Linked DNA regions of Tribolium castaneum. The protein of the gene in region 4 purifies or fractionates together with the protein of the main gene of each other region. This does not show direct contact. Links are inferred from orthologs where the notes say so. Each region holds a gene or a part of one and is shown on either strand. Other genes may lie near its edges. The genes, in order: Dhx15, Phf5a, ATP-dependent RNA helicase DDX42 and splicing factor 3B subunit 4.

Region 1 (5,075 bases), on a different chromosome or scaffold from region 4:
AGGAACGGTAATTGACAAAGTTATCATAGCACCATTGTGGATCTTCCATACCTAACCCAAACACACCAGTCAAACACAATTACTTGGTAAAACTCGCAAAAACTTACTTTGTTTGAAAGCATGGTAGACATTGAGCAGCGTCAAATGGTCCCCGTCAATATGCGCGAATCTCATTTTTGCATCGTCGGCCGCTTTCTTCGCCTCATTTGGTCGGATGAAGCACTGTGGGACTAAACATTGGAGCAGGGCAGTTGCCCGTATCCAACCAATATAGTTGCGCTCTCAAGCGTTTCCTACAGAGCTACCTTAGTCAGAACGACTCGAGCAAAACAAACCACAACATTGTGGTGTTCTGTTCTGTTCAATGTCTGTTATTTCAAGCATTTATTAGCTATATTACTAGCGGTTTTGCTCGAAAATCGTTCCGAATAACACGAACCCGCGTGACAACAGACCAATAAACAGGTAGCAGTTGATAAAGTAAAATTCATGGACAACAAACCACTTTCATTCTTCATTAAACAAAATCAACATTAAGATGCATCTAATAAACATTTTAAAAAATATTGTTTTGCACAAGCGTTTGAATTATTGATTACGGAGGTTTCGGAAATTGGCTGAGTCGTATATTCAACAAAAAATTTAGTTCATTAATAACGATAATGGTTTTTTGCTCCGACTATTATTCGGCATCAACTACCACAAAATCAAAAATATAATTTATTACTTATTAGTCTCCAAGCATAAATACTGTGGTAAAATCGTTTAAAAATGGGAACCTTTAATTCTTTTGAGGTTTGTTATGTGGCAAGTAGTGAAAGTACATTCAACGCTGCCAATTAAATAAACCAAAACAGTGAAAATGAAAAAATTATTTTGAATGAGTCTAATCGGAATAAATAACCAAATCGACGTTTAAAGCAAGGGCTGAGGGCCTGCTTCAGAAAAACGTTAATAAAATAAATACCTGACAACATCGCCGTAATGGACAGTATCTCATTGGAACAGTTGTGGTTGCAGCTGGCAATGAGCATTTTCGCCAATTGTGGATCGAGCGGAAACTCGGCCATAACCGCCCCCAAATCGGTGAGATTTCCATCATCATCCAACGCCGCCAAATAATTCAACAATTCCAAGGCCCTCATCAAGGTTTCAGGCGCCGGTGGATCCATGAAGTCAAAATGAACCAAATCATCAATTCCCAGTTTCTTCAATTGTAAAACGACCGAACCCAAATTCGATCGTAAAATTTCTGGATAGGTGTTGTCTTGCATTTCGTTCTTGTATGCTTTTTCGGTGTAAAGTCGGAAACATTTCCCCGGCCGAGTCCTTCCAGCTCTTCCGGCACGCTGCTGTGCTGAGGCTTTACTAATCGGCGAGACCAATAACGACTCGACACGAATTCGAGGATTGTAGACTTTTTGTTTCGCAAATCCGGGATCTATCACAAACACGACACCGTCTATAGTCAAGGAAGTCTCCGCAATGTTGGTCGAGACGACAACTTTGCGTCCGATCGCCCCATTGGCCTTATTAGGGGGCGCCTCCTCGAAAATACGTTGCTGCAAATTCGGAGGCAGCGTCGAATACAACGGGATACATTTTAGTTCGCCCACTTCGGGGCCCAGATTATCAATTTCGCGTTTGATTCGTTTGCAAGCAACTTCGATTTCCTCCTGACCGGTCAAAAATAGGAGAATATCGCCGGCTATTTCCTCACACATGTGGATTTGGATGACGGTACGGATGGCGGCTTCGAGATAATCGCGTTCCGGTTCGGGAGTATAGAAAATTTCTACTGGATGCGTACGACCGGGGACGTTCATTAAGGGAGCGTTATCGAAATATTGCTGGAATTTGCCAGCGTCTAGAGTCGCCGACATAATAACTAATTTCAAGTCGGAGCGTTGTTTAATAACTTCTTTTAAAACACCCATCAGAATGTCGGTGGCAAGGGTGCGCTCGTGGGCTTCGTCGAGCAAAATGCACTGGTAGGCGTCCAGCATTGGGTCGCTCATGCCCTCACGGAGCAACATACCGTCGGTCATGTACCTATTAAATCACACAGTTGTAATTTTTATGCTTTAACTTAATTTAACTTAACTGCTTTTGTAAATATATGATAAACGTAATAAAAAGCTCGAAAACGACAATTTTTTTTTTATTTCAAACCCAATTTACTGACTTTTCTGTCTGATTCATTAAAATTTCTCAAAAAAAAAACAATAATTTAAGTCCAAAAGAGAAAAAGAGTATTTTGAAAATAATAAAACCTCAGAAAACAAGGTTTAATAGAATTCGGCGAGGAAAAAACTAGTTTTTCACAAGGAATAATCATAATTGGGGAAGAAGACAAGAGTTTCTGGAAAATATTTATAGCCCCTCTTACTTGAGGATAGTTTTGGCCGACGAGCAGTCCTCGAACCGAATGCTGTAGCCCACCTCTTGCCCCAAGGCGACGTCCATTTCCTCTGACACTCTCTGGGCCACAGACATGGCAGCCACCCTCCTGGGCTGGGTGCAGCACACCCCCTTTTTCCCGACCGACCTGGCGAATTCAACGCACCACTGTGGAATTTGCGTCGTTTTCCCCGACCCTGTCTCGCCAACCAGCACAATGCACTGGTTTTCGGCGAGCAAACGCATGAAATCGTTGCGGTATTCAAAGACAGGAAGCGTGATGCGTTTGCGATACAACTCATGGTACTTATTGGTGTACGGCAAACCGGTGTGCGGGTTGATTGAGGCGTTGGTTACTTGCGGGGTGTTCGTTACTGCAGTGCTAATCCCACGTTCTTCCCTGAAATATCACGAGGCGGAAAATGTGGCTGAGTGACATTTGTGGTTACTCACCTTTTCTTCTTTATAAACGGATCCAACACTTCGATTCTCCTTTTAGACATTGTTAGATAGACTACGGCTAATAGTAACAAGCTCTCGAATTGTCTACTTGTTAACAAATAAAAATAAATTGCATTAAAGTTTGTTTGGAAATAAAACTACGACCACGACTCCATGCAACTTTGCACGGTCGATAGAGCAGAGCGCTGCCGTTTTATTGACGTTTATTTGCATGGCGACCGAAAGCGGGAGTTTAAATTTTTTGGAAAATTAAGGGGAAAAATGAAACCACGAAATTATTGTACACCGTATAACAATTTATTAATTAAACTTTATAACAATAATATAATTTGGTTTTTAGTCAGTCAAAATTATGTGTACTGCGCGAATATTGCTGATTCTGGGGAGAAACATATTAATTGCAACTTTTTAAACCGACTTCATGTAAAATTTTTCGCATAAGTTGTTTTATGGGACATGCCTCTGATGCGAAAATAGTAGTAATGTAATTAATTGTGCCCTGAATTTAAAATATATTTTAATTAATTAATACATTTATAGTACAGCACGTATGAAATTTGTTAATCCTATCGTCACTTTTTAATTAAAATTTTACACAGTTACATGTTTATGAAGTGTGTTAGTGCCGTCTGGCCATCTTGTTATACAAAGAATAGTAAAAAATTAATACAGTTTAAGAAATCTTAAGTCTATTACCACATTTAACCGTATCATTTAAAAAGCTCATTTTGTTGGCAAATCAGTAGTGATGGTTGGCTCTTGTGATTGTAGTTCTCGATATGCATGTGATGTATTGCATATTTGGTAATTTACGGACATTGCTCTTTTGCTGACTGAACGCAATAACAGATAACAGAAAGAAATCGATTTTAAGACATCTACTGTTACGATATATTTCACTATATCATATAATAATCGTATATTTTGATTAACATTTCCTAGATATTTATTTAACTAAACTAAATAAAAGCCGAACTTATCTCCTAATATCTACAACGATCAAAACGAAATTTTAGTCCAACAGTTTCTATTTTAAACAGTAATTCGATGAAGTCTATTCACTTTAACCACTTAAGGAAGAACAAGGATCTTAAGCTAAACTGATGTAAATACGGATAAATTTACAATTCTTGTACCTTACTCACAAGTTCAAACACACACGTGCTTTGAACTTGTGCAGTGTTACTGAACTACGGGAAAAATCGAATATCATTCTGAAGTACTTCCAGATTTTCGAATATTCACTTTTACAATAAATTTACGAGACCGCGTGTGTAATAAAGGGTGTAAAATTTCGTTACAATTTTGTGGTTCGTGTACGCTGACACAAAAATAATTTCAAGTTTTTTGTACTATTTCTCAAAAGCCAATAATAATGTGACGTTCTTTTATCAAAAATATTTGTCGTTTGGGAGTAAATTATGTTAAAATTTACATTTACGTCTTACAGTTTATTAATTCATAAAGAAAAGGCAAAGAGGCACTTCAGAATTAAATAAATTCAGGAAGAGAATCAGACACCTGTGCATGTAGACCCACGATTTTATTCTCTTAGCACTTTAAATTAGGCGGACAGACCCGGTCTGTTGATTGGGGTATTATACGATCGAAACAACTTCAGATCAAAATTATTTCAATCATAGGCTCGTTACGTACCTAATTACAGTCACATTCACAACTGACAGTCACTTTAGGTTTGGCCTGGATTAATTGCTACATAATAATCTCAATTCAACATCTTCTTTATCTAAGTTTTATTCGTAATATTAGCTCTAATTGACAAATCATAAGCAAGGTTTTCAAAATATATGCAGGAATTGTCTCCAGGTTCACCCCTTAAAATATTACAGTAAGAGTAAATTTCCTTAAAAAACATACAAAGCTAACTAAGAGCTAATCAGCCGATGGTCAAGCATAAGACTGTTTTGACTCCTCGTCGTTACAAAAATGGAACTCGTAAAGTGTGCTTTTCGCCCCTCCAGACGCAAAAACCTGTTCATTTTGGAAAATTGCAAACAAAATTTTCTGAATCTTCTGCGAAAGCTTCTGATTGTCCAAATACGGAATCGCTTCAGTTTTTCGTGTAATTTTTTGGGCTTTTTGGGTCTGGAGTGGGCGAAAGAACGCAAAGTTGTTGAAGTGTACGGATGGACGATGCTAAGACTGCGGCGCCGTGTTCCCGTCCGAGCAACCGCAGAAAGGCCGCGCGTGTC
Region 2 (3,710 bases), about 4.0 Mb from region 4:
GAATTACTGTGTTTTTTTGTATATGTGTTTTTTGGTAAGTGAGTATTTTTCTGTTTGAGCTTCTTTCCTCGTGAGCTTTTTTCTGCATGAGCTGTTTTCCATGTTACTTTTTTTCGATGGAGGGTTTTTTCTTTGCGCGCATTATTACGTGTGAGCTTTTTTCTTGTGGTCATTTATGTTTGTGAGCTTTTTCCTGTGCGCATTTTTCATGTGGACTTATTTCTGGTCACCGAAAAAAATCCCAAAAATCGCGGTAGAGAATCTTTTGTCCAGGATCGGTTCAGAACCAATTCAAACGATCCTCGGACGTAGGATTTTTAGTTCTAGACTTAAACGTATTTGTCTCTGTTACTCTCGTGTCTTTGAAGCTTTCTGACGTAGGAAATGGGTTTGAATCACAATAAAGAAATAGTCTGTCTTGGTTATCGAGATTTATTTAATACCTTACTAAACCAAAATTATTAAAAAAATAACGTTTGTAAACTTAAAAATGGGTTGTGTTCAATAACTTATACCATTTCTAACTTTATGATAATTTTTGGTGGCTTGTTTGTTTCTAAACATTCACTAAGAACTTGATAACGATAAAATATTGTTCGCGGTAGACGAAAGTCCGTAACTGAATCTGAAGCGCACACGCGCTTTAAATAAATCCTGGACTAGTTCAGGATTAGTTCTAAAAACCTTCCGCGAACAAAGCTGATAACATATGACGCTGACACTAATAAATCCTTCAAAACATGTCAATTTTTGTCATTTTTTCGAAGACAAAAAGCCGCTGCCATTATCAAAATCATATGATGGCAGTAAAAAATATTGTAGATGGCACACATGAATATGAAATTTTGTCTATTCACAAACATTATCATACTCGGAATTGCCTCGCGCGTTAAACTACTTTTTTTCCTTGATTTTTTCATTATAGAAAACTAGGAAAACAGTGCAAAAACAAAATTAAAAAAAAGATTTTTTTTAATATGATAACAGGAAAATTGACTGACTGATAATAAATTTTATGATTTATTTTAATTACACAAAATCACATTAGCGCCGCTTAAACCCGTATTTCTTACGCTCATAGAAGAGGTCAGTCTTCGAACTACCCAGATTCACAATTTTGGGGCACCCATCCCTGTCTTTCTCCTGAATTGTGCATTCCTTACAGTAGTAAGCGTCTGAAATACCTGGACCTCCACAAATCACGCATCTGCCCTGATACGAACCGTAGTTACACTCGTCACAAATCCTCACTAAAGTGCAGGGACGCACGTACGAATCGCAAATAACGCATTTTCCGTCACACTTCTCACAGAGCCTCCCTATGGCCACCCCCGGCTGCTTGCGACAAAAAATCAAATCGGGGTGATGCTTGGCCATGCTTCAGTGATCTACAAATCTTGTTTCAACAATACTGTTATTCCAAACTCAGGAACTTACCGTAAAACGTGAGAAAACGTTGAGCTTTGTTTCGAGATTTGTTAGGTTATGTGTACAACAGTTGACAGTTGAACTGGAAGTGTCGACAGTTACGCCAGCTAGACGTTCTTATTTTCGTGTCAAATGATTAATTAATTGTCGAATTTTGATTTGAGTATTACGGAAGCACAAACTAATTTCTATATAACTTAAGAATCGTGACCACATTCAACAAATAAATAAATAAATTTAAATTTTGACACCAGACACTAGTAATTTCATTTCATCAAGTTGCTGAGTTCGTTAAGTTGGCAACACTACTATAAAAAATCAAAAAGTGATTGATTCCCTTTGAACGTTAGGCTCCAATTTGCCGAAACTGAAGCGATTTCAACAATGAATTCGATGTTTTCCTCACCCGCAATCCACGTTTTCTCCCAAGAAAGTGAGTATTTGATGTTCGGTGAAATAATCTTCAAGTGTCGTTTTTAGACGTTGGAAGTGTGGCAAAAAAGCCAAGAACCACTAACACCCTATCAAGAAAACCGTTTTTTGATCGAGCCGTGAATGCAAACACGCCTGATTTTGGCAGAAATGTGAAACCCGAGCCGCAACTGAAAAAGCCTGAGCAAAATATTGACATAGAAGATGATGACTTATTTATTTACGACACTTACTCCTTCAAGGATATGAACGGTTTTCACCGAGATTTGTGTGTGACGAAATCTGATTTCTGGTTTTAGATGATTGCGCTGCTGATAAATTAATTACTGCAAAGGAAAAATTCAACAAGCTGCGACCATGTTGTGGTTACAAGGAGTTGACTCCATCTCCAAAGTTATCACCTGTTGATTTTGATATGTTTATTAAGATTCCGAAAACTATCAAGTTTTCTGTAAAGTCTGAAGACAGTTACGACATGACCGATGAAAGTGAGCACATTTCACTGCCGGACATTGATTTTTATTAAACCCTTATAAGTGGTATTTTTGTATTGATTTATCTTAAATAAAGAGATTTGAGTTTCAAAATTTTATTGAAAATATCTTTGCTGCGAAGCTACATGTTACATCTAAGAGTATTTAAACCACATCTTCCTTGAAGTGAAGAATGTTTCTCTTGACTAATTGTCCGTAAAATAGTACTTTTCCGAAATGAATGTGTGTAATGTTGGTTGCATAATATTTGAATAAGCTCAGAAATATTAGGTAGTAATAAATTCGATTTTGATCAGTAAAAAATAATAAGTGATCAGTATTTTAATAATTTTTGCACAGTAAAAAATTTAAATGACAAGTAAACCACGCACAGTATTTTATTAAAATTTGTCCAGTACAAAAATCGTATATGCACAGTATCTTGTTCAGTTTGCACAGTTTAAATAATACACGCTCAGTAGCTAGCTTGCAGGCTAGGGCTTCGCCCCAGCGAACTAAAAGGAAACATACCCCTCCAACAATTAAACTCAAAAATGTAAAACTCAAAATGTGGAATTCCACACTCTCTACATAATTTTGAGATTCTATTATTGATTGTGCATGTATTATTTTTACTTTACCAAAGCCAGTAGATATACTAAAGTAGCGACACGGACCTTGACAGGGCAACAATAACGATTATACACTCTACAGATGGCTCCACCATCAAAATTCAAAAATGTACGTCAAAAGTGTCAAGATTTTCTCACGTTTGAAAAATTGGTGAATCAGAACAATAAATTCGGTGATTGTCTACAATTTCACCCTGGTTATTACTGTTTATGTGTACAGATACCATGAAACCTTCAAACTTGTGCTTCACTCACGTAAAAATAAATCAGATCGTCCCTAAATTCAACTGAACATTGGAATGAGAAAGGCTTTTAGATTGCGCCGAATATAGCATCTCTTATGGACATTTCGAAGAAGGTGCTGGCGCTTCAACAGTGAATTCATTCCTTAAAAGAATTTGAACTTTGTATTTAACGAAAAAGCCAAAAACACGTTTCAAAATAATAGTTGTTTGATCTCAAAAAATTGTGTTACTTACATTTCTAATTTTAATAAACTCCTCCCTAAATGTTTTTACAGGTTATCGTATTTAATTACTCCAGGATTCTAAATTGGTCGATTTATTTTTTTTTAATTAAATTTAATTTTTTCCCTCAACACTATTAACAACTGCTATGAAACCAAGACATCTTTCGCAATAAGAAAAGTAAATCAGTGTACAAAATTGAGTAAATCAAGAAATTTTAAAGAAATCACTTTAAAAATTTAGGGAAAATCAGAAGGAATCATGATTAAACCACAGGA
Region 3 (4,433 bases), on a different chromosome or scaffold from region 4:
ACAAAATTGATAATTGAATCGTCTTTTTCAGGCACTGTAAAACGATTTTTTTTATTCTTCTTTTTTATTTTCTCTTTGCATTTATTCTACTTTTAGTTATTTTTGGGTTTATATTTCATTGTTTTGTATTGATTGTGAGAAAGGTTAAGTAGAATAGCATTAGGTCGACTTCGCCTCTACACATTTTTTCTTTAGTAAAGGCTTACTATCATCATTATTTTATTTTTTGAACTCGTGTTCTGTCGTTTTTAAGCAATGATTTATCCACAATAAAGTATTGCTTCAACAGGTTCTCGACAAGTTCTGACGTTTTTTACGCATGGAATCAAATACATTTAGAAATTTGTAAAAAAATGTTTTAATTGTCGTTTTCGGTCAATATAAAGTGAATTTAGCTTTTATACAGCGTATTTTGTCGTTTTTAAGCAAGAAATCGCAAAAATCAATTGATACAATTTTTGAAAACGTCGAAATGATTAGTCAACGCTAATTTAAAAACTTATAATAATATATTGTATTACAGAAAACTCTCTAACCCTTTTATACAGAAGATCCATTGGTTTGAAAGAGAACTTTGAATTGCGTTTATTTAAAGAAAAGCCAAAATTTTCATTGGTTTTTTTATGGTGGAAATGATTGAAAAAAAAAAAATAATGTAAAATAATTTCTCTTTATTTATTTATTTTAGAAATAAAGGAAAAACATCTGCTCTTGAATAAAAAATGAAGTTTAACGTACCTGTAAGGAAAATCCGTTACAAAAAATGAGATTAAGTTGTGAGTGAAAAAACCAAAAGTAAATAAAGCTAATCTTTTAGATTTGATTAAAAACAATATCTAACAAACTGTTGTAATAGTTGGTTCAGGTTAATAAATAAAACAAGTTTGTGTACCAGATAATTTTTTTCCATTACGGCCGAAAATGACAGAAAAACCTAAATACCTGAATAATTCCGCGTTTTGGGAAAGAGCGGCAACTTGCTGGCGTTCCGCACGTCAATAATTAGCACAAGTGTGGCAAAAACCAGCAGACTTTTCGCCAGCATTTCACTCAACTAACCAGTTTATTAACCTTTAGCTTATCTAAGCAGACAAAATGTAGGAGGCGGCGGAAAATCGGTCAAATTATCTAAACACTACTTCTGGATGAAATCGCTTTAATAACACTAACAACTTTAATCAAAAGTCCATGCATAAAAATTACACCTACAACATTAATCTAGAAAAAAATCACTGCCATCTACTCTTCTTTCGTGTGGAGGCGGGGGGCGGAGCTTGTGGAACCGGGTCAGAACTTGCTGTAAACTAATCACAAAGAGATTTGCCAAAATTTTAATATCAAATAAAAACTAACCTGATTCATGTATTGGGCTTTGAAAGCCGCTTTCATCGCCGATAAGCGATCAGTGGCCGGCCCTCGAGACTGGCTGTGTGATTCCCCCACGAAAGTCTTCGAAGCCCCTCCCACTTTCTCCTTGAAGCCCAGCCCAACCCCGCCCACGTTCGGGTTACCACCTTTACTCTTATATCGCTGTTTCCTGTACCATGAACTTTGCAATGCCAAGTCTAGCACTTCCTGAGGTACGTCTTGATGCGCCGCTTCCAAGTTTTTAACAATATGGCCCACAAATTCCTTATCTTTGGGCGTGATTAACGTGTAGGCGGTGCCTTGATTGCCGGCACGCCCCGTTCGACCAATCCGGTGCGTGTGCGTGTCAATATCACGTGCTATGTCGTAATTAACCACCGTACGGATGTGGGGGATGTCTAGACCGCGGGCCGCAACGTCCGTGGCCACCAATAAGCTACATTCTTTTTTCTTGAATGCGGTTATAACCTTGTTACGCTCGGCCTGCTCTATATCACCGTGGAGTAACAAACATTCGAATTCTTTGACTTTTAAATCGTTGGCCAATTGTTCGGCATCAACTTTCTTCGTGACAAACACCAACACCGAACCAGCGGATAACAACTCGACCAAATTATTCACCAACCAATCCCTCTTCAACTGTTGGTTTTCCATCAAAAGAACCCTCTGAGTCACATCCTCGTTAGCCTGCCCTGTAATTAGGGTTGCCAGATATCAAAATATTTTACAAAAAATATATGAAAATGCCTACATTGTGTCGAAAGTTAACATAAGTGAAGATTTTATTTTGTTGTACATTAGGGCTTCTTATAGAACTGTTTGCAATGCAGTGACATGAATTTTTTTAAAGTGAACATAGGATTAAGAGTGTTGTGCTATGTTCAGTAAAATAAAAACCTCAGTGCATAAATGAAAACAACTATATAAAACAAGAATAAGAAATAAGAACGATAAAAAAAACATAGGCAAAATTATAAAAATATTTTGTTGTGGCAAAAATGCTCGAACAGGTGGAAACCCGTAATTTTCGAAATAGCAATATCAAAAGAATAAATGTTACATAACGATATTTTCGAAAATAAAACTTCAAAAGTGGTACATACATTTTAATACCAAAAAACAAAGAAAATTCAATAATTAACAAAAAAACGTCAATTCTTCATCTAAATACAATTTTCAAAGTGCAGTGATAATACTTCTGAAGCTTTTCTTGTACAGTCCAGAAATTGTTTGTAATGTACACCCTGTTCTAAGTCTTATGGCCGAAACAAGAATAAATAATATTTTTTTGTAACATTTTAAGTATCTGAATCCTAGATTATAAACACTATCTTAAAACACGCTTCCCATAGCAATGTTTCAACAAAAAAATTTAGTAACACTCATACGAAAACGCTTAAAGTTCTCGGGTGTCTAGGTATACAACTCGCATTCGCTCGTTGCATAACGACAGCCTTCAAGATTAAAGCTTGTGTTTTCGCACTCGTATTATTACCTATTCTAGTCGTGTAAAAAAATAAATTAATAGACTAATCGATAGAAAAATAATTAGGCTACAAATTGATGCTTTGGTATTGTTCAATTTTTTAAGGTTTAGTTATGAGACACTAAAAAACAATTTTTCAAAAAACATTTTTGAAGTTATGGCATGAACAACTTCCATATTAATACTTTTTAAATCCGCTAAATCTAGTTGTCTAATTAAAAAAAAACGAAACAGACTAGTTTCTCTTTTAAACTAAACAAAATAATATACAAATGTTTTGCCACAAGAAGATACTTTATAAACTTTGTTAAAATAAAAAAAATAAGCAATTCCTTTCGAAATTAATTCTAGAATCCATTTATAATTTTTATATTCCATTTTAAAAATATATTTTTAATTCCAATTTTAAAAATACGAGTATTAGGCAAACATGCCTTTTAAAAAACTACATAGCATAGTTGGAACATCAGTTTGATCACTTTTATGGAAAAGTTTTATTGTCTTGTTCAGCAAATCAATATCGTCAAGGAGTTGATCCATATTCAATCATAACTCTTCATTATCTGGACAAACTTCTGGAATTGCTATTCCATCACGGTAACGTAATTAAATAACTTATTAAATTTGCAAAAAAATAAACGAACGAAACGTAATAGAAAGTAGCAGTACGTTTTTTGAGAGTAAAGATGTAAACATTTGAATTTGTAATAATTTATTAAAGTAGACTTCATTAGTGTTATATGAAAACGCTGAAGTACATTTTTCAAAAACACCTATTCTAATCAATTTGAATTTTTTATACAAAAAGTGAGAGCAACAACTAAAAAAGTACATTTTTCTTCAAATAGTGTTACACTGGATTTCATATAAAAGTTTAGCAAATAAATACATAGATGGTACCATGGTAGAAGGTATTGATAAAGAGAATGGTTTAGAGAACCAAGATATTTTGAAGAAAAAGAAAACGCAAATGCTGCTAAGTTAGAAAAACTTAGAAACTTTACTAGACTCTAAAAATTATTAATTACCATTTAACGTTGTTTTTATTATTTTATTTTTATTTACAATTCCGGAAGCTTCATCTTTTTGGTGTTGTCAATATACCGCAATTTTTTAACTTATTTTTTTAGTAACTCCACTATAACCTTCGTTTTTTTCCTGTATTTTTGCTATAATTGCGAAATCCAAATCTTTGCTTTTTCTCCCCGTATCCATTTATTATTGCCTGCACGTATTTTTATGCCTGTTTTTCAAATTGTCGAATTTGGTTTTAACCTGCTGTAAATTTCCTTGAAATGAGTTTTTTAATCAATTTATTTTTAAATAAATTTTATCAGTCCATAAATATTTCTACGAGCAATAAAATCACTTTCTCTTTGAAAAAACTGCTTCCAAGATTCCTTTTCTGCTTGGTCTACATTATATTCTGGCATGCATTTACAATACAATAATCAACAGCAAAACTGTTGACGATAGAAATATGATCTCTTAAAGAAAATTTAATTTTCTACAACTTTCTTCCTAAAGCTTTTCTTGTATCTTTAACTAAATCCGAGACAAGGCGCACATTTTAAACTAA
Region 4 (3,483 bases):
TTTGTACGACATCGGTCGTGGTATGGACACAGTACTTTGCTGATGCACTGTAATTTTTCCAACTGTCTCACTTGTGAGAAATAGAGTGAACGAGAAGTGGTGCTCTGCTCTCAATTAACCTCACTTTTTGCCACATTATTTATCAACTGTATTTTTGATTCATTTCAAAACCATAAATGGAGAATTACCACAAAGGTAAAAACGTGGAAGAACCTCTCGAAAGGGACAAAATTCCAATTCCTAACCTTCCTGAAAATTTTTTATGGATGCAGGTAATAAACGTAATTACAAAATTCACATTAATTTTATTTCATTGTTTTAGGTGAGGGGTGGAAGTAAAATAAGGAATCTTGTAAGTCACGCATTAAATGAATTTCCAAGTGCTAAAGCCGTTGTGTGGACAGGATTTGGACAATCTGTTGGTAAAACTGTAACATGTGCTGAAATTATGAAACGGGAACACAATAATCAGTTACACCAAATAACGAAACTGTGTTATAGGGTGTAAGTTTGTTTTCAATTAAAAATTTCCGCTGACATGACTTAAAATAAGTTGGTGACATTGCATGGCAAACGCCACTAAGAGTGTCACCAACTTAATTTCAGCCTAAGACGACTTGGATCAGAAATTGCATCATATTTTACAATTTTGCAGAGTAGAAGAATTTTGGGATCCAGTTATTCCTGATTTAGACCAAATAGTTGTTAAACGAAAATTGCCAATGATACATATTCTACTTTCACTAGAAACATTAAGTTTTGAGGAATTAGGATATCAAGCCCCTGGTACCACAATACCATTTACTGGAAATAGTGACAATAATAAAAAGGATAATAATAGGAAAATCCAAAAAACAAGACACAAAACGAAATAAAAAAATTCACCTTGACTTTATTGTATTATTGTTTTTACCAATTATTTTCGCTAAAATTATTCGGAGGTGGTGGTGGAGGTCCCCTTGGTGGGAACGGTGGTCTCCCTCCACCAAAATTAACCGGCGGCCTCCAATTCGGGGGCCGCCCCCCTGGAGGCGGTGGCGGCGGGAAACATCCCGGGAACGGCGGTGCACCTGACGTTGGGGGCGCTGCCGAGTTTGGCGGTCCAGGTGGTGGTGGCGGTAACCCACCTCCACCTTGCCACGGAGGTGGTATCATCCTGGGGGCGCCTGAAGCTTGCGTTGAGGCAGGCATTGGTGGCAGAGGGGGCCGTGCTCCAGCGGCGGAGGTTGGAGGCGGTGGAGGTGCACCTGGTGGCAAGGGCGGTTGGGAGGGAGGTAATGGCGGAGGGGGGATCCCCGAGGGGAAAGAACTGGGTGGAGGAACTGGTGGGGGTGGAGGAGGTTGCATACTTGCCGGAGTGGGGGGTGGTGGAGGCATCATTCCAGCGAGGATTACGGGAGGTGGGGGCGGAGCGAGAGTCATTCCTGGGGGCATCATGCCCATGGGAGGGGCGTCGGCGAATAGTTGATGGGGGCGGTCGGCTTGGGAGAGGGGGTTTTGGGCTGCGAGGAGACGCTCGGCTGCGGAGCCGTGACGTTCGCCTTTGGAGTCTTTCTTGAAGGCGTAGGAGACGGAAATGGGGCGGTTGCAGAGGTATTGGCCGTTCATTGCTTCGATTGAGGCGTCAGATGCTTCGAAACTTGCAAAGTTGATGAAAGCGAAGCCTTTGGAATTGCCAGTGTCGGGGTCTCTCATTATCTACAATATTAAAAAATATAAAAAAAACGTTTGAAAAAAAAAATAGATTGGTATGTGGAGAAGCTGAACGTTTAATTTTACCAAATGGAGTGAGACAAATAACTCAACTGATAAATAACATACAGAGATTAGCAAAATTATAAATAAAAATAAATAAATAAATTTTGAAGGAAGAATGCTCGTATAGGTAATTTTTTTCAATACATGAGAATCCCTAAATCTGTCGCATAAAGCAATACAAGGCACTTACACCTGATTTAACAATTGGGGCTTTTCATGCGAAGCGGACAACGAAAAAATTTGAGATCTTGAAATTCGGTTATACAGGGTCCTCAAAAACTGGCGCACCAACTCAGTGGTACGTTATTGAGAAGCAAGTGTAGATTACGGGAAAAATGTTGAAAAAATTCCTAAAGTCATATTTTAAAAAATCTAGAGCTACAAACTTATTGTATTTAACTTCTTTACTTTTCATTATTTTTTAATGTTTTTATGTTTCACAGTAAGTAATCGTTTCCTAACAAAACGATTAATAATTATTTTTAAATTTTTAAATTTTTTAAAAATGTAAATTTACAAGAAAATAATACATTTCACACTTAACTTAGTTATTTTGTTTTGTTCCTATCGTTTCCAAATACTTTTACAAAATATAGTAGACAAAAACTTTTGTTTTCAATATTTAAATAACAATAATAACATTAATAATTCAGAGTGGCCCATTGCTTGGTGCAAAAGTGAAAGCGCACTACAAAAATTAACGAGAAAAAAGAAAAGAAAGAAAAAGAAATAAGAAATTATCGATATTTTTCTGCCTAGTTAGGTATAGTGGCGGTCAGCTCGATTTGCGTGTGCGTCATCAATTTCATTTTTTCATTACCAACACAAAGCTATAAAAAAATTATCAAAAACAATGCAAATTTAAACAGTTAAGGGCTATCTAAGGGTGGTATCCTTGAACATTGATTTACATGTGCACTTCGACAACACCGTCAAGTGTCACGAATTTGTCAAACTGACATTGACAGTAAATTACAGACGTCGTCGCTTGGTTGTCGAAAATGTTATCGGTGTTAATCACAAGTATTTTCTGTTCGTTTATTGTGTTTTGTGATTTGCGTTTCGTTAGGTTTTTGATTCTGCGTTTATTAGTTCTTGTTTTGTGAATCTGTATTTTTTGTAACAACTCATAATTTAAACACTTCGTAACCTCAAAAAATATTTGATAGTTTGTCACCGCTATGCCCCTGCTATGTAAACGTAGTGACAGAAATGTCAGATGACGCACACGCAAATGGAGCTGAGCGCTACCATATGTCTATAATTATTAAGGCCATGAAGGATGTTACAAAGCAATATTTCATTTCAATATACAATTCCGTTATTTGTCACCGGATTGTTATCAAATTAGAATGCACATATTTTAGGAGGTTGTCTTTCAATTAGGGGCAAAAAATGACCTCAAGTTAAGAAATGAAATTTTAAAACATTTCTTTTGTTTAAAATAAAGCCAAATTACCGTTGGATCATTAAACTCCGAAAAATAAATGACCACACAAAAAATTAACCAAATCGATCGGCTGATCCAAGAAAGAAATTAATTTTGTTGTTAAAAACTTAATCCAAATTTTGATTGTAATTTGGGCAGTCATTTTTTGAAACAATTGGTGAAGCATTTCTATGCGGCATTTTGTGTACCACTGAAAAAAACTGTCAAAAGTTTGCGAGCTATCAGAAAAGTAAAATTGTTTTAATTTGGTGAAATTACTTTAAAAACCAACCAAT

The links.
Region 1: the proteins of splicing factor 3B subunit 4 (region 4) and Dhx15 purify together in Homo sapiens (co-immunoprecipitation; 4 studies listed by BioGRID and IntAct, with this or other methods). This does not show direct contact. The link is inferred for Tribolium castaneum from reciprocal best matches to the Homo sapiens genes SF3B4 and DHX15.
Region 2: the proteins of splicing factor 3B subunit 4 (region 4) and Phf5a purify together in Homo sapiens (affinity purification with mass spectrometry; 6 studies listed by BioGRID and IntAct, with this or other methods). This does not show direct contact. The link is inferred for Tribolium castaneum from reciprocal best matches to the Homo sapiens genes SF3B4 and PHF5A.
Region 3: the proteins of splicing factor 3B subunit 4 (region 4) and ATP-dependent RNA helicase DDX42 purify together in Homo sapiens (affinity purification with mass spectrometry; 3 studies listed by BioGRID and IntAct, with this or other methods). This does not show direct contact. The link is inferred for Tribolium castaneum from reciprocal best matches to the Homo sapiens genes SF3B4 and DDX42.

Annotation. Positions count from the first base shown.
Region 1 is NC_087397.1:4,419,232-4,424,306, reverse strand, and holds the start of Dhx15 (putative pre-mRNA-splicing factor ATP-dependent RNA helicase PRP1), read right to left. Parts: upstream 3,071-5,075; 5' UTR 2,904-3,070; coding exon 2,854-2,903; intron 2,801-2,853; coding exon 2,390-2,800; intron 2,053-2,389; coding exon 968-2,052; intron 231-967; coding exon 108-230; intron 52-107; coding exon 1-51.
Region 2 is NC_087395.1:6,324,356-6,328,065, forward strand, and holds Phf5a (PHD finger-like domain-containing protein 5A), read right to left. Parts: upstream 1,591-3,710; 5' UTR 1,438-1,590; intron 1,397-1,437; exon of another isoform or gene 1,389-1,396; 5' UTR 1,378-1,388; coding exon 1,045-1,377; 3' UTR 1,008-1,044; downstream 1-1,007. Other genes in the region: uncharacterized protein LOC655475, read left to right, coding at 1,813-1,861, 1,909-2,112, 2,160-2,386.
Region 3 is NC_087399.1:9,764,508-9,768,940, forward strand, and holds the end of ATP-dependent RNA helicase DDX42, read right to left. Parts: intron 2,061-4,433; coding exon 1,354-2,060; intron 1,305-1,353; coding exon 1,230-1,304; 3' UTR 1,140-1,229; downstream 1-1,139. Other genes in the region: endothelin-converting enzyme 2, read right to left, coding at 943-1,045. UniProt on the Homo sapiens protein: ATP-dependent RNA helicase that binds to partially double-stranded RNAs (dsRNAs) in order to unwind RNA secondary structures. Unwinding is promoted in the presence of single-strand binding proteins.
Region 4 is NC_087395.1:2,319,855-2,323,337, reverse strand, and holds the end of splicing factor 3B subunit 4, read right to left. Parts: intron 1,699-3,483; coding exon 910-1,698; 3' UTR 869-909; downstream 1-868. UniProt on the Homo sapiens protein: Component of the 17S U2 SnRNP complex of the spliceosome, a large ribonucleoprotein complex that removes introns from transcribed pre-mRNAs.